Linked DNA regions of Drosophila melanogaster. The protein of the gene in region 1 interacts with the protein of each later gene in a biochemical or structural test. Each region holds a gene or a part of one and is shown on either strand. Other genes may lie near its edges.

Evidence for each region.
Region 2: the proteins of Jasper (region 1) and JIL-1 form a complex in vitro, tested with the Drosophila melanogaster proteins (one study listed by BioGRID).

Annotation. Positions count from the first base shown.
Region 1 is NT_033777.3:30,045,605-30,058,374, forward strand, and holds Jasper (JIL-1 anchoring and stabilizing protein), read left to right. Parts: upstream 1-6,909; 5' UTR 6,910-7,194; coding exon 7,195-7,860; intron 7,861-7,939; coding exon 7,940-8,701; 3' UTR 8,702-8,742; intron 8,743-8,805; 3' UTR 8,806-9,093; downstream 9,094-12,770. Other genes in the region: RpL32 (ribosomal protein L32), read right to left, coding at 1-20, 83-182, 286-317; CG7943 (uncharacterized protein), read left to right, coding at 1,486-2,039, 2,103-2,232, 2,300-2,614; CG15528 (uncharacterized protein), read right to left, coding at 3,205-3,805, 6,252-6,334; spn-A (spindle A), read right to left, coding at 9,262-10,194, 10,258-10,335; Rpp14b (ribonuclease P/MRP subunit p14 b), read left to right, coding at 10,532-10,563, 10,645-10,951; Rpp14a (ribonuclease P/MRP subunit p14 a), read left to right, coding at 11,399-11,430, 11,536-11,839; CG7950 (uncharacterized protein), read left to right, coding at 11,855-12,331.
Region 2 is NT_037436.4:11,088,434-11,101,203, forward strand, and holds the start of JIL-1 (JIL-1 kinase), read right to left. Parts: upstream 4,761-12,770; 5' UTR 3,839-4,760; intron 3,424-3,838; exon of another isoform or gene 3,340-3,423; 5' UTR 3,207-3,339; coding exon 2,465-3,206; intron 1-2,464. Other genes in the region: Iyd (iodotyrosine deiodinase), read right to left, coding at 5,000-5,706, 5,762-5,918; CG46439 (uncharacterized protein), read right to left, coding at 6,060-7,616; CG33947 (uncharacterized protein), read left to right, coding at 8,580-8,628, 9,659-9,708; Irbp18 (inverted repeat binding protein 18 kDa), read right to left, coding at 9,209-9,439, 9,567-9,677; APP-BP1 (beta-Amyloid precursor protein binding protein 1), read left to right, coding at 10,252-10,319, 10,377-10,541, 10,598-11,243, 11,310-11,643, 11,706-11,954, 12,014-12,126; Elo68beta (elongase 68beta), read right to left, coding at 12,249-12,550, 12,612-12,770. UniProt on the Drosophila melanogaster protein: Phosphorylates 'Ser-10' of histone H3. May regulate gene expression by establishing or maintaining the structure of more open chromatin regions. Also required for normal polytene chromosome structure, for oogenesis and for viability throughout development.

The DNA.
Region 1 (12,770 bases):
TTGGGCTTGCGCCATTTGTGCTGCAAGGAGACATGTTGATTAAACACGGGTACAATTTGGCACAATCCTCGTTGGCACTCACCGACAGCTTAGCATATCGATCCGACTGGTGGCGGATGAAGTGCTTGGTGCGCTTCTTCACGATCTTGGGCCTGTATGCTGGGCGGATGGTCATCTTGAAGCTGGAAGGACACAACAAAAGTAGCCATTAGTGCACTGACCCACTGGAAATATCACTTATCAAGCTAATAACACACAAGGTGTCCCACTAATGCATAATTCAACCAGGTTGGGCTAGCTTCTTGGGCAGTATCCATTGAGTTTCCGGTGTGTCGCCCCACGAATTCCCATCACAAACAGAAGCCATTTGGCGAACTCTCACAGGAATCGATCCGAATTCGGTCGAAATACGAGCCGCACACTTGCGAACAGCGCACGGACTAACGCAGTTCAACTCGAAACCGCCAAAAACGACAATTACGGCTTAAAATTAATGGAAATACACGTGGGCCCAAAATCACGCACATACCTTGCCGGAAACCAGAAGCGAAAAGAAAAAGCTGGTGGTGTGAAAAAACATCGATACGTCGTGCGTCGATGATTCGCCGATAGTTTCGTTCATGGCGATGCCAAGCGATATATTGCGGATCATCGTGTAATGAATTTAAACTTGGGCGCGTCAAATAAGGTGTTGCAGGTTTAATCACTATCCGAGCAACTGCGACGATTGCAACTATGTGCAACAAAATATGGAACTATTTTCAGCTTGGTGGAGTTTGTTATATAATTAAATATGCTTTGCCTCTTGACCCACTGTGCAGTGTGAACATATTTCATTTACACACTGGATGCAACAGCTGTTCAATAGATGTTTTGCAGCACCGTCATCTGATAAAAAACGATAAGAAAGCTGGGAATGAAAAAGTAAAAAGCTGACAGAAGCGATCAAGGAGCAGGTGTTCCCGAGGTTTAGGAGGCTAATACAAAAGCATCCAAGTCGTGGATTTAGAGCACCCAATGCATACCAGCACATGATAAGTTTCTGATCCATAGGGTGGTCTTTGCGTCAGTGGAACAAGTACACAGGGTGATTCGGTCAAAATAAAGTGACAGTGCTGTTAAACGCACTGCTAAGAATATTTTAATTATACGGTGTTATATTAAGTTTGTAAATTACCGAAAAGGGCGAGTACAAAACTCAAAGCCGCCGCTGCTAATTTAAGTTCGACAATTAATTTTGGTTGGCTTGTGAACAATTTGGATAACAGAGTCCTTTGGTATGCAGCAGAGGTCCAGCGACGGTCACACTGGCCGTGGCCGTCAAACCGTGGTTCTTCTTCATTATTATATAATTAAAACCGATGCGAATCGAAACCAAAACAAACCAAACCAGCGCAATCCCCGTGTTTGAATAGTTACAATGGTAACGCGGTGACAAATGCGCACTTCTCCACACGCCCGAAATAAACACAGGACAGCAGCAAGATGAAAGACGATGGAGCACCAAACGTCGCGAAAACCACCGACCCACCGCCCCCTAAAAGGTTTCCATCCGGAAGAGCACACAGCCCACATGGAGACGGGGAGGCGGGGAAACTGCTGCATGGCAGCGTCTTCTCGAAGCGCTTCTTCGGCTCCTTTCAGTGGGAGGAGTTCGCCTGCGGCTGCGGAGCAGCCTTCGTCAACATCGCGGTCACCTATCCCATCTACAAGATGATCTTCCGTCAGATGCTGCACGGCGTGCCCATCACCTCGGCCTTTGCACAGCTGCGTCACGAGGGACTGGGCTTCCTGTACCGCGGCATGCTGCCGCCGCTCGCCCAGAAGACCATATCCCTGTCCATCATGTTCGGTGTGTTCGACGGGACGAGGAGGTACCTCGTGGAGGACTACCGCCTGAACGACTACGGGGCCAAGGTGCTAGCGGCCGTGGTGGCCGGCAGCGCCGAGTCCATCCTCCTGCCCTTCGAACGGGTGCAAACCCTCCTCGCGGACTCCAAGTTCCACCAGCACTTCTCCAACACACAAAACGCATTCAGGTGAGCTGACGGATCTTTAAGTTTGCTAATGGGATCTTCTTATGGCTTTTAATCATTCCACAGGTATGTGGTTTCCCACCACGGCTACCGGGAGCTCTACAGGGGACTCGAACCAGTATTTTGGCGCAACGGCCTGTCCAACGCGTTATTTTTCGTACTGCGAGAAGAGGCCAGCGTCCGGCTGCCTAAGAGAGTGAGTGTTGACCCTATCACACATACGAACCTACTAAGATACTAACCAATCCGTTGCCCATCCACAGAAATCCGTATCCACTCGAACAGTGCAGGAGTTCATAGCGGGCGCCGTGATCGGTGCGAGCATAAGCACAATATTCTACCCGCTCAATGTGATCAAGGTGTCGCTGCAGAGTGAGATGGGCCAGAGGTCTGAGGGCAGCTGGCAGGCGTGCAAGCGAATTTACGTAGAGCGCGATCGCCGCATTGGCAACTTCTATCGCGGATGCCCCTTCAACACAGGCCGCTCCTTCATCAGCTGGGGCATCATGAATACGGCGTACGAAAACCTAAAGAAACTAATGCAGCAGCAGCCGCCGTTGCCACTGGCCTCTGAGTAGAACTAGAGTTAACTTAGCTGATTGTACACAAACGGTTACTTCTGCCTTTAGCTAGCCAATTATTTCGTTCGATTTAAGTCTCGCCTAAGTCGCTTGTGCACAGATGCTGAATTCTAGGTGTTAATGTACATACACGCATCCCAAGCGGAGGTCGCCTGCTCCTCCTACTCATATCTGTATATCTGTATACCTGTAGATCTATTCAATTCGCCTCGCGGATGCCAAGTACAATACAACGTGAGCATTTAAAGGTACCCAATCTTCGAGTTACGGTTTAGTTAGCTACTTTTCGTGTACGTGTAAATAATACTAGATGATGTGCGATATAATACGAGTGTGTTGTTTGTGTTCGCCAATAACTTTGTGATTGATTGAAGATACTACAACTGATTAATTAACGCGGTAGATTCAATGTTCTTAAACGAAAATAAAAGTGTATTTGTAATTACGAACGAGGCTTAAGCGTACATCTTATGTAAGTTTCAGCATTTCATTTCATTATCATTAAGCACACACAACTTAAACATCTAATCTAAGGCTAGTGGTAGGGTACGAGTATCACAAGTAAGATTAATTGCGGCACAACGGGCCTATCGCCTCTTGAGGGAGCTGCGGTAGCGCTGGTAGAAGTCCTCCATGGCCCTGTACTCGGGCTCCAGTATGTCGGGGATCTCCTTGTCCAGCGAGGCGAAGTACACCATGGCCACCGAGCTGCTGCCCCGCAGCTGTTGCTCGTACCGTCGCAGCTGCTGGAAGAATCCGGAGTTCGGGCGAACCTGCGGACGTATGGCCTGCACATGCTTGTAGGCCTCGCGCAAGCTCATCCCGGCGTGCTTCATTAGATAGGCCAGGCACAGGCTGGCCGAGCGGCTGACGCCGGCCACGCAGTGGATCAACGTGCAGCCGCCGGAGAGATGCACCTCCTCGATCAGATCGGCCGCCTCGTCAAAATGCTTGGCCAAGTCCACCTCGGAGCGATCCTGGGCCATGATGCGGAGATAGAGCGGGTTCTTCTGGCTGGGCAGTGGTGTGTCCGGCAGCTCGGGCGCCACGTTGATGACGCAGCTCACGCCCAGTTTGTCCATGTAGGCGGGCACCACCGCCGCGGCACCGCAAAGGATCAGCGATGGAGTGATGCGGGACAGACCGGGAAACGGCGTGTGATCCTCTAGCGTGGATGCACTCAGCTGACTGCAAGGAATCAAAGAGGGAATACTGGTGAGTTCTCATTCTTTTTCCGAACAAAAGAAAGCTTATGCAATGCGTTAAATTTACATAGCTACAAAGTTCTGGGGGGCTCTGCCAAATGGCATAAATGCGCAAATATTTGGCTGGACAACCTGGTGCACTTCAAAGTGGGTGAAAAACCCGATAAAATAAGAACATTTCGCGGGCGAACAAAGGAGCACAACTGGTGCTAAGCCAAAAACAAATGGGCCATAAACAAATGGCAGGTATTCGTGTGTGTTTTTGTGAATGGAAAAACAACCCATCCCAGCCCATCCAATCCAATCCCATTCGATCCCATCCCATCCCATCGCCTACGTATTTATGGGTCGACGTCATGGTTCTATGAGTTCGTTGCGTAGGCACAAACAATAAACATATTGCCAAAATACCTACATATAGTATATACACATATATGTATATACTATATCCAAATTTGTATCTGTACACCTCAGAAATGCTTGTTTATAATTAGTTTCGCGGAGTGTATAATAAATGGAGGCGATGTGAAAATAGCGCAGTTCTAAAATGGTATTTGGCGAATGCGTAAACAAACAGATCAGTCATCGCATAATGGGATATTAACCACTGCACCTCCGATCTTTTGGATCCAAATCCGTTTGGCTGGGAAAATCCAAGAGGTCAGTTACCTTCGATATATATAATGTAGTAAGGGATCAGCGAAGGCAGCATTGGGATTAGTCATATTTTCATATTATATCATTTCCTGACTTCCAACCTTATAATGGAAACAGAGGTCTGCCATCTGGTTTCCCTTTGCCCGCTCCATCTTCTCATCCCTTGGCACCCCCAGTCATCCAATCAAATAGAGATCAAATAGAAGGTGCCAATCCCTGCCGCCTTTCCTGCTGTCATCGCCCTCCAAAAGCTCCTGCCACTGAGGAATGTAAAATTAAGCACTCGGCTGATTTCAAAACGAATAAGTCTACACTCTTCGCTAGAAACCAAAGAAATTCGCAGAGATTTCAAAACACTCAAGTTATTGAAGTTTTTTTCAGCTGAGTTTCGAGCTGAAAATATTATATTGCATACTTCTGAACACCTGGGAGGTTACATTTCTTCCAAAATAACATCTCGAAACTACTTTATTCGAACGAGAGTATTGCCATTTTGTGTGTTGTTTCAAAATGGCTTGTTCTTTTCGGTTTTATTATATGTTTACGGCGACTCGGCGTCGTCATTAAATAATAATCACAAATTCCACTGGCACGGCGCCAAAATTAATCATCGGTCACTTTCACTAGACCAAAGAGGCAGTGGCATCGGCAGAAAATTTCTTGATTTGAAAATAAGTGAAATTAAAATATTTCACACCGCCCCCGATGTTCCGTTCGTTATTCACTTTATCGCCGAATGCAAAAATAAAGGCAAGAACAAATTGAGCTGTTTTCGAATTCCAAGTCCATTATTTATGAATTCGCCAGCGAGCGTTGGAATCCGAAATCCTTGTCTCCATTGTCCATCACATGATTGTTTTTTTTTTGTTTTCTAGGGAATCTAGGTTAATGGGCGGGATGGACGGTATTCGCTTATCTTCTGAGCCTATCCATCTAGTCATTCCCCAGTTTATCTAGAGAACTGCATGGGGTTCCAACCCACAAGATGCCTTACATCCCAGCTATGTATGAATATCCACCTCGGGGCCTCAAAATCCGCATTTTTCGACTGCCAAAACTTTGACAGACCTGCAGACAGACCTCCGTCTGCCCCTCAATGATAAATGACTAATTTCATTTTGGCAATTATGCCGTCCTTGAATTCAATTGTCAGAGTCAGGGCCACCGATAAAGAATGCGCCGAAAACTCAAGAATAATTTGTAATATTCGAATACATTGTGCAATTCAATGAAAGGCATTCAGTTCCGAATCGATTTCCGTCTTCAATTCAAATTTGGGACACTGGCGAAAAGCGGGAAATATGCTCGCATGTAAGTACATCGGAATTCAGAATGGAATTTTGCTCGAAAACGAATCGGATTTGAAAAACGCATGTGGCCAAATGTATTGCATATGCTGCTTTATGGCCAAATTTATGGAGTTTGTGCTTCCGTAAAAAGGGGGGAATTGTATTTCAATGGATATTTCAAAGCTGATTTTCAATATAAAATATAATAGGTAATAATTCTAAGGCATTGTTATGATTTTGTTTTAACACTCTATTTGCTTTATTCCGCCAGGTAAACACGACTAGCTGTTCGATTCAGGTGTGATTATTTATATAGCGAGCAAATTAGGTAGTAGGCAGCCACAAAGGTTTGTCGAGGTGACATCATGGCGACCTTGAGCAAATCTAGTGCTTAGTGTTTGTGGCTAACAAAACGGGCTCAAATGTCGACCACAAATGTTTGTACTTGGCAGCAAACTGCAAAATGTGCGTGCATTTACTCACTTCTGGCGACTTTCCTTCTCGACCGTCTCATTGGCGAAGGGAACGCCACTGATGGCGATGCCGCCGACTATTAACTCCTGCATGTTTATGGGCTCACAAATTCGCGCTGGCCACTTAGTCGGGAATTTGCGCTAAACAATAAACGAATTCCGCGGATTCCAGGCCAAAATTAAAAATTATTTTCCGCCTTGCTCGCTCTCCAACGATTCAATTCGATTCGATTCGATTCGGTAAACAAACTGAAGTTCTTTTGGGAACTCGTGGGAGAGACAACACTGTTCTTTTTGGCCAACCAACGACGACTGGCCGACGAATAGGAATGCCTTCGAAAAATGTTTTCAGTTCGAGTTGATGTGGTGAATTCGCGCGACGAGGTGCGTGCGCCAAAGGTGTTTTGTGTGGGTGCGACGAGGTGGGAATCCGGCATCGCCTGCCAACGAACTTCCACCTGTGGGAGCTGTGCCAGCGATTTTGAACTCGTAATTGGCCAATGAAATGAGCAATGCCTGCTAAATATGCCGACAATTTTAGGCTTAAAAACATTCAAAGTTACTTATAACTATAAGCTAAAGAAGATTGGGATACCAACTTGAAAAGGTATGCAGAATAGTAAGCAGTGTGTTTCACTATGTAATAAGAAACATATAAACATTTAACGAAAAACTCTTATATTTTATTGAGCTCCATCATTTTTAAATTCGAAAGCTAAAAGCCCGCCAAGCTACAGTTTCGTCGTTACCGCAAACGACCAACGCACATACGAGCACTGCTAGCGCTGGCTGGCTCTTGAGCTGGCCACACTGTCGATCGACATCGCTGTTATCGGAGCCAAGTGCCATATCTAAGAAAGCGCGAGACGAAAAGAAGAAAAGCAGACGCCGCAGAAATACGGCAAAAGATATTGGTATTGCACGCGAACCAAACGAGCTAGAAGTCAAACGAAATGGGTAAGGAAAAGGCGGCCGCCTCCTACAGCATTGGCGACCTGGTGTTCGCCAAGGTGAAGGGCTATCCGCCCTGGCCGGCCAAAATCACCAAGAGCAACAACAACAAGAAGTACAATGTTTACTTCTACGGCACGGGCGAAACGGCCAACATCAAGTTGGAGGATCTGTTCCCGTACGCCAGCAACAAGGAGCGCTTCGCCACCGAGAAGATCATGAAGCGGGCCAAGTTCATCGAGGCCATCGATCAGATCGAGAGCGCCTTGCGCGGCGAGGACTCGGCGCCCATTGATTTGCTCGACGGCGCGGAGCCAGTTGCTCCGCCCACAACTGGTGATGGCGTCAAGACGGAGGAGCCCAAGCCGGAGCCGGGACCGGAGCCAGCCACTGCTGCACCAGTCGCAGCAGCGGCCGAGAAGCCCAAGAAGAGCGGCACCCGGAAGACCAAGGCACCACCGCGCCATGTGGACGGGGATAGTGAAGCAGGCGCGGAACTAGCACCTCCGCCGGCCAAGCGAAGGGTTCCCACCGAGGGTCTGGCTACCGCCGCAGCCATCCCCGCTGCTCCGGCTGCGGCGACCCCCACCTCCAGCAAGAAATCAGTGAAGAAATCCAAGCCCACGGCTGCAGTAACTCCGATTCAGAAGCGGTCGCGGCCAGTCAATGTAAGTGCGATGCAGAAATACCACCAGACATAAACTAGTATGAATTACGATACATTGATTTCCATTTTTGCCCAAACAGAACATCCGGAACGAGATGCTCATGGTGTACATGCCCACAGCCAAGTGTTTGGGAATCGTTATAAACTACAAAAAGCCGGAGAGTTTCGAAAGCGCCGCTGCCGAGGAAGCCTGGATGGAGAACGCCCGCAAAGAAGCCTTGGAGCTCAAACTGAAACTAGAGAGCGGCCAAATCAATCCGGAGTCCATGCCCGATAGGATCGTGGTGGAGCCAACACGCAGCGAAATACCCAAGCAGGAGGCTTTGCGATTCATCGAGGAGCTCATTGAGCACGAGGATGCCCTCTTCATGGAGCGAGACTTCATCCAACTTTCCCAGCAGCTGCGCGAATGTTTGGGCCTGCGGCGCGCCAATGTGGGCAAATGCCTGGAGATCCTCGAGCAGTTCAAGGAGGTGGAGTTCACCAAGTTGATGCTGCTGCGCAATCCGGAGTGCGTGGACATAATGCGCCGACTTCGCCGGTATGTGGGCAATCTGGAGCTCTGGAAAATGGACCTGTCCGACGAGGTGGAGTTCAAGGAGAGGGCGCAGACCATACGCAAGGTCTCCTCTGGCATATACGATGGCTTCAAGAGTCTCTTCAATCCGGAGCCCGAGAGCGAGGACAACTTTTGGATCGACTTCTGCGAAAAGGTAAAAATCTACAAGACCTATACGAAAAATATCAACGAAAACCTTCGCGTCGGGATGAACGAGCGCGGATATAATAGCCTGGTTTTGGCCAAGGAGGCCGCCGCTTCAGCCGGATCGGCTCCACAGTAAATGATCGAGGACCAGTTCTGCTGGACCAATTACATGATAAGGTAGGATGGGAAACCGCAAACCGCTGAGTTGAAACACATCTTCAAGAATCCTCTTTCTTGCAGTTACTCGTAAGCGTTACAAACCAGGCAACTTAAAGACCGTGCTTTGGATGACAAAGTTTTGATGAGCCAAGTGGGCTATGCTTAATTCTAGGTTAAAAATTCAGCTAAATTCCTTAATTCTGTTTGCCTGCCAGGTGCATGTCGTGTTACGCTGCGCTGATGGGGCTTTTCCTGCTGCATCCGCTTATTACCAGACTAAAAAAAAGGTTTTTGCTTCGAAACCCCTAAATATTTTCTAAGTTTGTAGATGATTTGAATAATATTGAATTAAATATAGATGGTACATACAATTCGCAACGGCTGTTTTATTTCGTCGTTATCCTAAACATTCTAAGTAAACATTAAAACAAAAAAAAAAACAATCTACGAAGTTTAATTCTTAGTCTAGGGATAAGTAATCATTAGAAAGTTAGGGAGCTCTATTCCTAGCATTAATTAACCTATAAGTGAGCACAATTAGCTCTCCCTGGCGTCTCCTATTCCATCCGGCAGAATGGCGAACATGGCCTCCGATTCCGGCAAACAGGGCGAGTCGTAGATCTTGCAGATGCGGGTTTCGCCTTTACCCTTGCGCAGATACAGCCGCGTGGTTGAGGAGTGGGCCATGATGTGCCCGCCAATGGGCTTCTTGGCATCAAACATGCCGGGTGCGCCGTCCAGCGAGGCAGTAACCTGGTTAGTAATTACCACAGCCACTCCGAACTCATCGGCCAGGCGTTGAAGCATGCGCAGAAATAAGCCCAAATGGTTTTGCCTGGCGGCCAGCTCCCCGCGACCAATATAATCGGATCTGTAGAGCGCCATGGCACTGTCCACAATCAGCAAAGCGTATCTGGACTCAAAGAGCATGCCCGCCGCCATCTGGATGAGCTTGGTCTGCTGATCTGAGTTGTGGGCACGGGTGAAGGCCACATTGTCCAGCACCTCGGATTCATTCAGTTTGTACCTTTGCGCGATGGCAGCCAAACGCTCCGGACGGAAGGTGTTCTCCGTGTCGATGTACATGCACTTGCCCTCGCCGCCCTTCTGGCTGATGGGCAGCTGGCAGGTTACTGCCAGAGTGTGGCACAATTGGGTCTTTCCGCAGCGGAACTCGCCAAAGATCTCGGTAATGGATCCCGTCTCAATGCCGCCGCCCAGCAGTTTATCCAGCTCCTTGGAGCCCGTGCTCAGCTGCACGACATCGGCACGCATTTGATAGAAGGTGCGAGCACTAAGGAAGCCCAGAGGCACCAGTTTGTTAGCCTCCGTGATGATCTGCTCCACCTTGCCGCCGCCCAAGCCGGGAATGGCCATCAGTTGCTTCTTGGTGGCATTGGCCACCGACTCCACGGTGTGCAGACTGGCCTGCTGGAGCAGCTTGATGTCCTTGGCCGTGATGCTGCCGCCCTAGGAGGAGGATATCGTAGGGAATGCCCATAATAATCCTGGTCGAGATCGCAGCCTACTCACTATTAACTTAGTCACGCTGAGTGGACCTTCTTCCTCCTCCTCTTCCTGCTGTGCCTGAACATTCGTTAGCTTCTCCATTTGACAGTTTCGAAGTTAAATTTGACTATTTGTTGTTTCGAGTTTCGTTATTTAAATTGCACGTCTTGCGTGAGAGAATTTCGACAAAGACTGCGCGGCGCGCAATTCACTGCAAAATCAGTTTGCCAATCGCCCCGAACGCACAAAACTCTATCACTACAGAGGATCCCGCTTAAAAGGAACGCGCAAGATCACCATGGCGAACTATTACTATTTCGACATCAAACTGTGAGTAGAATGATGTTCTGCGGTCATTAATATAAACTTGGTTGTTATTAAATTCAGTAAATATATTCATTTATTTAATAGTAAACTTCGGGATCCGACTGCAGTTGCTTTGACCCCATCTCTGTTTCGAAGCTGCGTTCTTGACGCCCTGGACAGTTTCTTCTGCGAGGAGAAACCCACACTGGAGATCGTGAAGTTCTGCGCCCAGCAACATCGTGTTATCTTTCGAGTGCCAGAGCAACTGCACGACATGACCCGCATATCCATTGAGCTCATCGGTCACTACCAGCAGATACCCTGTCATTTTGAGATCTTGGAAACATCCAAATCATCGCTGGACTTTGAGAAGAGCATTGAAAAGACTGTCGCGGTTGTGTCCGATGATTAGGACTAGCGAATTGTAATACTCAGTGTAATATACATTATAACCGTCATGAAGAATTTGAATTTGAATCCTAACTGATTTTACTGTGATCTGATTTTTTTGTCATTCACAACGAACTGAAATGATTTCTGTGATGGCTACTAAATGAGATTAAAAAGCGGAAAAACCCCATAAACTTGTAACCATTTTAATAAAATTGCATTTAAGTAGTTCCAATAACAATTTAAATGTTTTAATAAATGGCTATAATTTTAGCTATTTTATAACTACTCATGTCCGTTGTGAGCCGAGCTGGCATCTCTGGCGGCGCACAGCTGTTTGAGAAGCAGAAAGAAACAGCAAAAAAGGGGAGTAATTACATAAAAAAAACACACTGACCGGCAACTTTTGGACGACTTTTCCCGAAGATTCCGCCAAAAAAAGAGGGGCACTGGCACTTGCACCCAAAGCATGAGTGGTTACCAATATCTGGACGTGAAGATGTGAGTTCCGGGCACTCAGCCCCGCTCCTTAAAGCCCCGTATTTCCCACGTGCGCACGTGCATCATGCAAATATAATTAAGATAATTCACGTTTTTAATCGCCAGAAAACTCCGTGATCCAGACTCCGTGACTCTGACGCCCGTATTCTTCTGTGGCTGCATCCATAGCTCCTTGGCTAGTATTTTTGGCGAAATAGGTGGCCAGACCATACTGGAAATTGTGAAATTTAGTTCCAGCCAAAAACGCTCCATTCTCCGGGTGCCCGAGAACGTCCTGGATCGCGTTCGCGTAGCTATAGCCCTAATAGGATACTACCAGGAGGTGCCCTGCCATTTTCAGGTGCTCAGCACATCCCGAAAGCCCTTGGATTTTGAGGAATCCCCCGAGGAGTTTGTAGCATTTAACTAGCATTACCGCATCAGGATGTCATTCTCTTACTGCAAGGAGTACGGCAAGGACAAGGTGATTTTTGTGACCAAGGAGGACCATGCCACGCCCAGCACCATCGAGCTGCCGCCGCCGGAAAAGCCGGAGGGCGTGATCACCAAGGACGGCAAGATCAACTGGAGTTGTCCCTGCCTCGGCGGCATGGCCACCGGTCCCTGTGGCGTCGATTTCCGTGAGGCATTTTCCTGCTTCCAGAACAGCACCGCCGATCCCAAGGGATCGGACTGCTACGATGCCTTCACCAAGATGCGCGACTGTTTCCAGAAGTACCCCACCGTGTACAACAAATCTGGCGGTGATGACGACGACGATGATGGCTTGAGCGAGGCCTTGGACACGGATGCCGGTTCAGTTGGTGGCCAGAACGCGGATCCGCTGGCGGATGTGGGCAACAACGGAGGCGGCGATGAGCTGGTGTCCCCCAATAGCAGTTCAGTGGTGCCCAAGGCTTAGGTGGGAGTACATAAGATAAGAGCTAGGTGTGACTTCGTACAAAATAAATAAAACTTGTCATTAACTTCAATCCATCCCCACACTATCGATCGTGACTGGGAAACATTTATCAGCCAGATAGTCTGGAATTAACAGAGATATTGTTGAAACAGCATAGTGCTTATTTCAGAAATAAAAGATACTCGTTTTCTCAATTAAATTCTCGCTTTTTTTACAAATAGCGAAATACACAAATAAAAAAATGTAAATGTATCTTGTATTCACTGTAGCCAATAGGCCGTTATTTCCATATGTTGTGTATTTCTGGTATATACTCGAAGCGCTCCCACCTCGTTGGCAGTATTTTTCCACCCTGCTGCCACACTGTTTACGAAGCAGCAATCAAAGAAAACGGAAAAATAAAAGCGTATTAAGATTTCGTGTGGAAAGGAAAAATGCT
Region 2 (12,770 bases), on another chromosome or scaffold:
TTCCAGGCATTTTATTAAATTTAATAATTCGCTTTAAGCACGTTTGATCAGCAAAATTTCACAAGCAAAGTCAACAAAATTTCAATAGAAGCGTTGTAAAAAGCAATGCAAAGCCAAAAATAACGGAAAAATCGAGTTCGTTCTAAGAAAAAGAACAAAACAAAGTAGGAAAACAAAATGTGTAAAGAGTTTCTTGACAGTCTCAAAAGTGTGTAAACTTGGAATTTGTTGTTTATTTTCTTGTATATTTAATATTTTTAATTTGTTTTTTGATTTATAAGTAAAATAAATATTGTTTAATTATATTTTATAAAAAAATTGCGTTTAATTAAGCAAAAAACCCTTTATTTTTAGCTTTAAAGTCAAAAATTCAACTTATTTCACAGTGTGTAAACAGTTTCTTGACAAACTGTATATGTAATTTGCGAAAAACAAGCAGCCAAACGCACGGAATGACGCGTGCCGAAATTCTTTAAGGGTGCATCGAACCCAGGACTTTTTCGAGTGGGTGGCAACTTTTCGCCGGAATTATTGATTCAACAAGAAAAACTGGAAAGATGTTGCAAAGTGGTGGCGACCTGTCGCGGAAAAACCCTTGTATATTGCTACTTTTTGTATTTTTTCGGATATCAAATGGAAATTGAATATTTTAGTCATTATTTAAAGCAAGTGCGAATTTTCTTTTGTATTTTTAAGACGACCTGTTTGAAAGCGTGTGACGACGACGTCGAGCAAATAAATTGGCCTTGATATGCATTATATACTCTGGCCAGGTTCTTAAACTGAATAACAGACCAAAAAAAAAATGACTAGGCAAAGTTTAATGAACGCAGACCGAAAGAATATGAATAATAATATGAAAACCGCAACAAGTTGAGAACGTTCTGATAGCAACAATTTCGATTTTCTATTTTTACTTCTCATTGTCAAGTGTAAATTGTCGCATAAGAAATGTTTACCCCACTTAAAAGTAATGTTTATAATGTGCTAGCGGTACTGTACTGTACGAGGATATCGATTTTACTGATTAAAAAGTGAAAGGGGTGAAAACTACACAGATAAAAATGAAATGTAACAATACATTTGAATGCAGTTTTAATTAATTCGTTATAAGACAACAATTGGACATAATATTTTAAAAGATTTTGCTAACTTTACTTGAGAACCAATCTGTATTTTTCTCTGTGCATTGTGTAATTATTATTGTTAATTTACAAAAGGGTGGGGTTAATGATACAACTCACCCCTCCCCTCCCCCACCATTCTAGCAGCACCCGTTGCCGTGACGATGTTCTTGTGATAATTAACAGCAAACAACAAACACAGCTCACCTATCAATTTGAAGGCAATTATCCAGGAGGCTAACTCGTTGCCCTATCTTTATGTACATACCTACATACATACATATGTATCTATGCTTGGCAAGTTGCATTGCCAAGTTCAAGTAAATAAATTGCCTAGAAACAACAACCAACCGTTTATGCAAACAAGCATGTTTGTGAGTACAGCAAACGCTCGCAAACAGCGTTGCACGCACATTTGTACAAACAACTGACATGGTCACGACTGCACGGCGATGACGAAAAGTGGCACAGTGGTTCCATATGATATTATGAAAGATATAAGCCAGATATAAGAACTATTTAAGAAATAATACTACATCTTAATTATCGAGATAGATAGAAACTTTGATGAATTGAATTTTAATCGAAACTAGAGAAGGTTTAGTTTTTATCTAGATTTATTTTATTCGATTTATAAACAGCTGTTGTGAAAACCTCTTGACAAAAACGTTTACTTCAAAAAGGTGTTACTTTCCACACCAAAATCCAGACCAATGTCCTCAGTAAATAATATTTATTTAAAAATGCAACCGAAAAGTGTCAAATTTAACAAATAACAAGCAGCAACAATAGGTTTTCGACCCACGGTTATCAAATTAGACATTTGGGTGGTGGATATTCTGTCTGCTTTGTGTATATGTATGTAGAGTGTGGTGAGAGGTGAGTACGGCGAGGTTGGGCGATTTCAGGGGAGGTCAGTAGTTTTGGATTTGGCCCAAAGAGCGAACAAAGCCGGGTTGAGTTTTCTGGGTAATCGTGTCAAGGTTAAATGCATGTGCTCCACTTTAACAAAGAACGATAGAGACGGCACTTCATCTGGCATTGACCAGCCACCCTCTGCCGACATTTCAATAAAACCTTGAGACATCCACCCGGTTAAAGTTATCAATTATTCCACCACACTACCATGTTTGATAAGCTCTGTGGCAGCTGCCTTAAAATGGCATGAAATATTCACAGGGAAGAAGTTGCGGTTTAATTTGATATGGACGGAATTATTAAACTATCATATTTAACATAAGTACATCCTGACCTGCAACTTGTAACAAATTTTCTTATCTAGCTTGTGCTTGCAGTTGGCCCGGTCTTCTTTATCACTATCATTGAGTGGAATGACTCACCGTAGTATTTCAGATCGGTGACCGCCTCCAGGTCCCGTTGATGGGCCTCATTGTCCAGATCAAGGGGTGTACTATTGCTGGTGGGCATGGCGTAGGAGGGCGTGGTCGACGAGGAGGCCTTCGAGGCTGCTGCTGCCGCTGCTGCAGCCGCCGCCGCCGCCGCTGCAGCTGCATTGTTGGACTTGGCCTTGGACAAGCTGGAGCTGGATTCATCGATCTCTATCCCGTTCGGCTCATCCTCCTCCATGTCCTGGTCGTAGTACTCCCGCTCGGGATCGCGTCCGTCCTCGCTCTCCGCATCCGATATGCAAACAATATCCGCCACATTTGTGGTGGGCGGGGATGGAGGTGTGGGCGGTGATATGGTCTCGCGGTAAGTGTAATCCCTTGCAGATGCTGAAGTGGTCTTGCTGCTGCTATTGGTGTACTGACCGTTGGTGGCACTGATGCTGTTGTTGTTATTGTTATTATTATTGTAGTTCAAGGTCTTTCCAGAACCAGAGCCGGATCCCTCCGTATTCAGTTTGGACTTTTTCCCATTGGTCATCGTTTCGGAATTGCTATTCTTTCGCGTTTTGCCATTGCCATTGGCTACCAGCTGGCCATTTAGATGATTCCGCACCATTTGATCTGGCTCCTCGTAGGCTAGTGACTCCGATTCACGGGGATGTTGATGATTCTTGAGGCGCGACGTACTTGTACCGCTTAAGATCTCGTAGTTTTGCTTTTGCAAGCGACTCATGGCTAGATTCTTCCGTAAAAGATCCTATGCCTTTAATAATGCTCTACGTGCTCCTCACGTAATCGATGGATATTCCAGGAATTAACAAATAAAAATAAAAAGGTCCAGGGACTGATCGTGGCGCATCGTTGAGCTGGAAAAACAGAAATCAAAGTAAAGACATTTTTTCGAAAATCGCTAACAATTTGTAGACAATCATTAAACTTTTTGACACATTCTTATATGAGTACTGACATAAAGTTGTCATTTTGGCTAGCTAGACTGTTTTATTGTTGTAGTATTTTTAATTAGAAACTGAATTAGTTTTTTCTATTCATGGATGTTCAACAATGCATAGACAACATGTACGATATAAATGTTCCAGTTCACACATTTTAAATACTAAATAAATAATAACTGAATTGTTGAAATTTATTCCGCAAGATGTTTTGAACATAGCTGTTTCTTATTGTGTTCTATTTAGGCAATCTTCACCGTACCTTCCCAATGCCCATTGCCCATTTCTATCCCATTTCTTCATCCACAATATGGTACAGTTTCAACGCAGGCGGGAGTAATTTTCCCGCTGTTAGCGGACAATTGGATGGGGAAACTCATTTCTGAATAGAACACTATTTGGGAGTTCGACTCACCTCGCGAAAGATTATAAGCGCAATATTATAATGCAGACGAAGAAATCCGAATCGGAGTGTGTGTGTGTGTGAGTGGGTGGATCTGGATGGGGAGGGGGAAGAGTGTTGGATTATGCGTGGGGCGGTAGCGATGTGCAACACTGAACGTTCCAATGATAATGTGCACCGATTTATGCAGCACTGGCGTTGGCTTAAATATTATTCAACCAATTCGGTTGCGGTTTCTTTTCATTCTTCTTTTTTGCTTGTTATATTATGCCGTGATTATCACAATCTTTATCAGTCGCGCATTTTTCACTTCCACAGTTAGTTTTTTATTTTTTTTTTTCGATTTCTTATTCTTTACCGTTCTCTTTGCCCACAACTACGTACACATATGCACACTCACACGCTGGCACTTTCTGTATCGGCTGCGTTTTTAAAGCGTTTTTGTTTTCGTCCGCTGATTCCGCTCCGGCGACTGTTGCTCTCGATTTTCAATGGATTTTCCAATTTCCCTGCGTACGCTTGTACTTGTTTTTCAATAGACAATACAGTAACGTTTTGATATTGAGATTGAATGTTTTGTATAATTTGTTTTGTGTTACACGAGAAGGTTTTTACCGCCGCTTTCTACTCGTTTACGCACACACACATTGAAACGCAGGACGCTCTCCGCCATCTGCTTTGCTCTCATTCGTGAACACTTATTAGGTACGGACCACCTTGATGGGAATCGCGTCGATTTCCGTTACACTCGATCAAATCGGGTTTATATCTGTATTATAGTACAATATAATACAATTAAAATCGAGAGAGCCCTAAAACGATTAATGCCGGATAATTGGCTATTTGTAATTTCAACACACAGCACACGAACCGCACGTAGAAATTTTCCCTTTGCTTTTGTGTCACTTACCGTAGCTATCGTTATCGATAGTGTTGACAAGAGGCCAAAAAGCGTGGTGCTGGAAAGCAGCCGTATATCGGTTGGCAGGGATGGTGGAGACTATCGTTTCAAATATTTAAGAATATTATATTTTGATTAACAATTATAATGAAGAATAAATTTAAGGAAAATGTGAAAATTTCGTTTATCAATAGAAAAAATATAAGAATTACCATAAATTTTAGTTTGGTTTTATTGAACTATTTCGTAAGCTGCACGGACGTAAATAAACCTTAAAAAGTAACCATAATATTTGACAAATTCTTTCTCGCCAAGTCGGGAACTGTGCATCCATCTTTCGGATAACCAACGGGCAGTAGGATGAGTAATTTTTCATTGACGGGTCGCCCGAGCAGGTTTCTCAAGGCTGGACCGCAGTTCAAAGGAGTGGTGACCAGCGATGCGAGTCCTGCCGCTTGAAGGGCACACAAAAGGATACCGGCCGCAATCGAAGTGGATATCTCGTTGTAGTAATGCCTCCTCATTCGCTTTCCATTCTCCGACAATCCATAGGTCTGCTTGAAGATCAGTATAAGGTACGGCGCCTCGGTGAGATACTCCTTGACATGATTGGTTTGCAGGGGTCGCAGATCGGTGACCCACTGCGGATGCATCCTCTGGCTGTAGTTGACCAGCTCCTCCTGTTCCACAATTTCCCGAATGGATCGCTTGAGTTCCGGCTCCTGTACGACGCAGTACGTCCAGGGTTCTGTGTGTGCGCCACTGGGAGCTGTTCCCGCCGCCCGAATGCAGTCCTCTATCACGCTGAGATCCGGTTTGGGATGGCTATTAAAGGAGCGAATGCTACGGCGTCCACGCATGAGTTCATATAAGCGTTTGGCTCCATTAGGGTTGAGATTCTGGCCGGGAACGAAGGGCACATGGGGCTTATCCTCCAGAGCCGGTTGCAGTTCATCGCCAAGATCGGCAAAGTGTTCAACTGGAAAATAGAATAGAATAGCTTTATGTTCACCGTGGATAATCTTAAAACTTACCCTCCTCCTCGACTTGTTCATCTAAATTATATGTTTTTAATACGCGATTCCCTTTAAAAAACAATCTTTTTACGATCCATATCAGCGCCAGAGTGATAAATAAACTTGGCCAATGCTTGAGTAGCTTGGAGCTGCTGATCAGTTCGTCCACATCCATGGTGCTTCAAGATGTAACTGCTTTTGCGACGGAGAGAAAGTGGCTTTGCTTTTGCGCTCGGATTGGCTTATCACTTGGTTAAGTGGGTCACGGCTATTGCTGATAGCGATGGATGCTGGTGGATGGGTTTTGGTTTCCACTTCAGTTGTTGTTCCGGCAGCAGTAGGTGCAATGGCTGCCCTTGTGATGCTCGCACATCCTCTGTTGTCCCTTTTCGTGGGCACTCCTATCCGACATGCATTTTGGATTCTTAAGCATCTGATTGGGCTCACCCGGTTTTCGTTTTTGCGGCGGAATCGGTCGGCGTGTATTGTTGAGTGGAATGGCCTTCTGGTGAACCAATTGGCGCTTGTGCACCTCTCTCAGAATCTCGATGATCCGCCACTTGGCATCGAAGAATATAAAATCGGGAGCAGTGGTTAGCTCGGTACGTATCATATCGCAAAGCATCTGCACTTGCTGGCTATTCGCGGATTCCTGACCGGATGGTTCCTTCTCCATCAAGTGAGCCGGTTCTTTGCTGGATTCAGAAATATCTGAATTTTGCGGACTGGATACGGAATTTCGCGTAGATTGTGGTGGTGTTTCCCGACACGGGGGTTCACACTTTGAATTTTCGGCTATCCAGGGGCAGGAAACTGGGCTTTGTGAGGATTCCACTTCCGGCTTGCAGGGACAGGTCAAATTGGTGGATACTAAATCCTTCTCATGGCTGGACATCTTGCAATTGGAATGATGATGACTGGTTTTATCCTTACTGTTTTGTATGTTCTTCTGCTCCGATGGAGAGAGTGCGTCTTTCTGTTCCTGATCCTCCAACCCGCTGATTTTCTCTTCTACCGAAACTTCATGATCAGCGACTTTTTCTGCCTCCTGAATTTCCTGCTCTATGGGATTTTCTTGCTTCGCATTTTCTTGATCAGGAATTGGTTTGATCTTCTTGTTTGGCCGGTCTTGGGGGTCTTTTTTGGGCCTCTTGGTTAGTAGATTGCCGGGAAAACCGGCCAGAGGAAAATCCGTGAAATTGGTCAACTTTTGGCACAACATCTCTGGGTTGGCTATCGGATTTTGCAAAAGTTTTCCGGCGGCGAGTGGGCTAGTTCCACTGGCAGGAAGATCCTTGTCGAAGTGTATATTAAGATGTGGCACCAGGAAAAGAAATTCATTATAGTAGCGAATTGAAGGACTCATTATCTCTCCACACTTCCTTCGAGCACGTTCGATAATGGTGTATTCCCGCTCAAAGAGCGTCCTTAGCTCCTCCAGACAGGATCTCAGTTCCGAGACGCTTCTTCCCGGAAATGAGCGCACCATTCTGTTGTAGCAGTCATCGTCGATATCTTTGTTACCATAGTAGCGATTATGGCGGTTGTAAAGGCTATTATGCTTGCTATAGAGACGTATAAGCTTCCTGACATCATGATCCTCCAATGAGATATGGTTTCCATTTGTCTCACTCTGATTCCTCGCCCGCCTGTCTCGTTTGCCAAACAAAAAAGAGAGAAATCCCCCGGATTTCTTTGTTTTCTCGATGCTATTGGGTGTTTTAGGTGGATCTAGTGATGCCAAAGCGGGCTTAATGCCTCCTGCTGACTGACTGTGGCTGGAACTGATCCTGGAGGAGTGGAGATGCATTGGCGTCACTAGGCAACTCGAAGCGGAACGCTTGAAGTAACAGTGCCTGTGTTTTGGTTCCATCCTCGGCGATCTGGCGCTTCAGTAGCGTCACATTCGGGTTCACCTCGCTTTCAACGGTCTTTGGGTTCTTTAATGGCAACAGCATTATAAATCGAAAAAATTTTGTACCATTATCTGGAAATATAACTTTTGTAATCCTGACTATTTTTTTTTTACTTTTTTTGGGGTGAATGTAAGTGTCACTGTGAAGTTTTTTCAAATGCTTGGAATTATATACCAATTTTTGCAAATTTCATAGACAATATGATTAACTTAATATTTAAAATATAAGTCTGACCAGGATTTTAATATAAGAACATAAACAAGATAAAAAAAAATTTTCAAGAATTTCAACAATTTCAAAACAACCACGCTTTTTAACGGTTTTTAACGAAATACTGAATCAGCTGTTCCTCGCTGAAAACTTTGCAACACTGCGCGAGAGAAAAAAGCGAGAGCAAGGCCGTGCAGTAAAAGAGCGAGCGAGAGCGGCCAAAACAACCAAAATAAAGTTACGTGAAATTATAAATAAAAAATAAGGAAATACACGTTCAGCTGCCGACCAGCCAAATACAACAAAGCAACGCTGTAAAAACTGAAAACACATTTCAGTTTATTTCGCCTCGTGCCATGTGAGCAACTTCAAATTGATATTGAATCGGAATCAGTGTGCGGGTGGTGCTAATTAGCGGAAGACGGCAATTTATTGAACGCGAAAAAAGCCCCACAATCCAACTTCCATTTCGACACGAAACCAACCACCCGCCAAATCAAATCGCCGTCGAGTTGTGCATCAAATGAATGTGCGAAAAGTGCAGTAAATCAATGTTTTTGTGAGTGTTTGAAAGAAGAAGACGGAAGGAGCGCCCACAACAAAAGCAAAGAGAGCAAGACCTAACGGGACACCCGAAACCAAAAACCTATCGGCACAACGACACTTTCTCAATAGCTATAGTTTTAGTTCATATGTTCATATCTCGGAAAATGGACGAGGTCTTTAGCCTACACATGGAGAAATTGGACGTTTACGACGGTTAGTATCTAATTTGCCGGAAGTTCTACTTAAACGTAGAACATATGTATATGATGGAATCTGGGTTGTATTTCTGATTAATGAGTTCATCAACTTTCAAGGAAATAATAATAGTAGTAGTAGTTGTAAACAGCTGAAGTATTGGGTATAAAATAACACTGATATGGGTAAAATCATAATAGACACTTTATTTGATTCAAGACTCGCATGATTTTAGCTGTATGAATCATGTCGAAAATAATAGAAATCACTATTACTAAATATAGATAATTTTAAAATTTAGATTCAGTGCAACATGGATACAGTGATTAAGTGTTACAATATAAACAAAAGTAAAAGAAAAGTACAACAAAAACAAGTATTTGGTGAGAAATGATAAAAACTCACCAATAATGAAAACCATTTATGTAGGATTTTAACAAACACTGTTCTCGTCTGCATGAGTGCTTGTCTTTGTAATAGAATTCGAGCAATTGCACCATTTTAATCGAAAAACTAAGATGATACACATGGTTAACAACCATGGGAAATGGCTTAAAAGTATGAAAATATAAGAAGGTAAATCAGGAGAAGCTCCTCGTTAGTCATTGTCCTTGGGATCGGGATCTGGTTCAGCGAGAATCTCCTGGATGATTCGATGGCCGTCCTCCGTTTTCTCACCCTGAATGATCAGATCTCTAAGCGTAGATATATGTTTTTCACTCGTCTCGATCTGAACCTTAAGAGCATCGTTTTGCTTCCTCAAATCATCGATGCGTTTCTTACGTTCCTCGGCCGATTTCTTGGTCTTTTCGCGTGTGCGCTGAACAGCCTGTTCCGAGAATAGTAATAAATCAATAGTGGGCATCTATTTTTGGGGACTTCTGGGGGCCACGGCGCCACAGCAACATGTTTCCCAATCTTTGCTCTCTGTTTACATCCAAAACTCTTAAACTTACCTCATTGTTTTTCTTTCTTTTTTCTTTGTACGCTGGATCGTCTGTGTGCGGACTTAATGGCGAATCGCTATTTTTGCTGGTCGACGCGGCAGTTCTCTTTTTGGCCGGCATTATCTCCGTGATAATACTGATATTTATTTAGTTCAAATTGGATCGCAATCGGACGGAAATGCAGAAGAAAACACAGCGATGTATGCGTTGTTTTGTTGTGAAATTACACGATAAAACAGCTGTTCATTAGCCCTCCCAGTGTTGCAAAATGCGCTGCCTACACTGCCCAGCCAACAAACAGTTAGCGGTATTATTTAATTAAATTAATTGCATGTTGAAAATCAATATTAAAACTCACCCAAAACCATAGCCATGGAATGCTATTCAAAAACTGTCAACCAGACACTTTATTTGGTTTGCTCAGACTTTCACTTTTTAATTTCTCAACTGTTTATACATTTTATTTGTAAAGACTGATTGCTTGTACGTAGATGTAGTTTAATGCAATAAAATTAAATGAAATGTAATACGTAATAGTCAATAAATGTTTTAAATAAGCAACAGTTAAAATTACCAACGTGTTTTTTCCAACACTCCACCCAATAAACAAATTGTGTCAGAAGTATTGGCTGCCGGCGCTTTACAGTACTGGATTATTTGCAACCGGCTTATTATTGCACAAAAATCTAGTGAAATGTCCTCGCCAGCCCCCAAATCGCCAGAGCTTTCGGATAAAAGCAAGAAATACGACAGACAAATCAGGTGAGGAGCGTTTTAATTGATAAATTCGGAAGCATAGCACTGATGACACCTATTTAGGCTGTGGGGAGAGCATGGACAGACGCTATTGGAGGCAGCCACAGTATGTTTGGTGAATGTTACGGCCGTCGGCTGTGAAACTGCCAAGGGACTGGTGCTACCCGGTATCGGAGGCTTCACTGTGGCCGATGGCAGCACCGTCAAGGAGGAGGATCTGGGCAACAAGTCGGTAGACCATCACACATTCCCTGACCACCATTATAAAGTCACTTTTTCCGTAGTTTCTTCCTCGATTCCAGCTATCTGGGCAAATCTAAAGCATTGGCTTGCATGCAACTTCTCCAGGAACTCAATCCCGACGTAAATGGCGATTATGTCGACGAGAGTGCCGACTTTTTATTAGCCAACAGACCGAACTTCTTCGACAGCTTCGATTTAGTGATTGCCTCCAATCTCAATGAGCAGACTTTGCTTCTCCTGGCCGAACGGTTATGGGAGCTTAACGTTCCATTAATCTACTGCCGATCGCTTGGCATGCTGGGCACAATACGCTTGCAAATACGGGAACACTGCATCGTGGAGGCGCATCCGGATAATCGACAGTTTGATCTGCGTCTGGAGCATCCATTCGATGCTTTGCGGGAGCATCTCGACGGCACCGAGGTGACCAGTAAGGTGCCCTGGTTGCTGGTTCTTCACAAATACCTTAATGTGTGGCAAAAACAACAAGCGGATGGGACTCAAACGCCTCGAAATTACAAAGAGAAGAATCAGTTGAAGGAGACCATTAGAGAGGAGATGAAGGCGGATGAGGAAAACTATGAAGAGGCCATCAAGGCGGTCAATACAGCCTTTGGAGCGGGACAGGTTCCCAAAAGCCTGAAAGCCATATTCGAAGATGATGCCTGCGAACAGTTAAACAAGAAGGTTGCCCATATAATCTGAATTTATACGTATACTTTACTTTCATTTGTTTTTCTTTTTTTTTTACAGAGCAACGTCTTTTGGATCATGGCCAAGGCCCTAAAGCACTTTGTGATACATGAGAATGAGGGCCATCTCCCTCTGCCTGGCGTTCTGCCGGACATGACTGCCAATACGGACTCCTATATCGCCCTGCAGCACATCTACCGCCAACAGGCGCTGCAAGACGCCGACCAGGTGTATCACAAGTGCCAGGAGTACCTTAAGCAGTTGGCTTTGCCTGCCGACAGCATTGATGAGAGAAGTGTGCGTCTCATTTGCAAAGAAGCAGCCGGACTGGCGGTCATAAGGGGTACACGCATTGCAGAGGAGTACGAGAAGAGCAGTCGCCTGCTACCACTGGGTAAAGATCTATCTATCTATTTTGGAACAACCTTAAATGACTTACCTTTCCTTGCCTTCCAGTTGAGGACAACGAGCTGCAGGGCAACCTCACGGCATACAACTTTGCGCTGCGCGCCTACGAGCGCTTCCTCAGCGAGTGTGGCAACATTCCCGGCGAGTGCATCGTTGAGCAGGACATTGGACGTCTGAAGAGCATTGCCGCCAAGATGCTTAGCGATTTGGGAATGCACGCCACCATCAGCGATGATGTTCTGCACGAGATTTGTCGATATGGCGGAGCTGAGTTGCATGCAGTGTCTGCTTTTATTGGTAAATATTCCATTTGGTTTATGCGTTGACCGATACTATATTCTGCTAATTCCTTTCAGGTGGCTGCGCTGCCCAGGAGGTGATCAAGATCATTACGAAGCAATACAAGCCAATCGATAATACTTTTATATACAATGCTATAACCACAGAAAGTGTCACATTGAAGCTATAAACAAATTGTATTTTCATAGAAATTGTACGTTCTTTTTATTCTGTGTCCCCAAATAACTAATTAAATTAGTCAACCAATTGAAACCCCTTCTATAATACTACTAACAAATTCGATTGCTATATTTACTTGGCTTTCTTTACAACTGCCGAAACACAGTATTTTTGAGCATAGAACCTACCGAACATAAAGAGAAATGGCACCATATAGGCAGCTCCGATTGGCGTTAACCATTTTCCGTACTCACAGCCCCGGAAAACTAATTGTGATGCCCAAAAGAAGATAATGGTAAACTGGACCAGCTGGAGGCCAGTTAAGTAGCGCTTCCACCAGAGGAACCTCTGGACTCGAGGACCCAGCACACTCAATGCATAATAGCTGTACATAATCACGTGCACAAAAGAGTTTATCATGCTTGGAAAAAAGGCTGCATGGAATACGAGATATTACTACTAGAAATATAATATTTTTAAGGTATATAAACTCACTTGAACCCGTCGGCAGCCATTTGACATAAGTCCAGCAAAACAAGAACATGGTGCTATGGTGGTACACATGTAGGAAGCTCAGCTGGTTCCATTTGTGGCGCAAGATGAAGAATGCCGTGTCTACGAATTCCAGTATCTTTGAGATGTAAAACCACCACA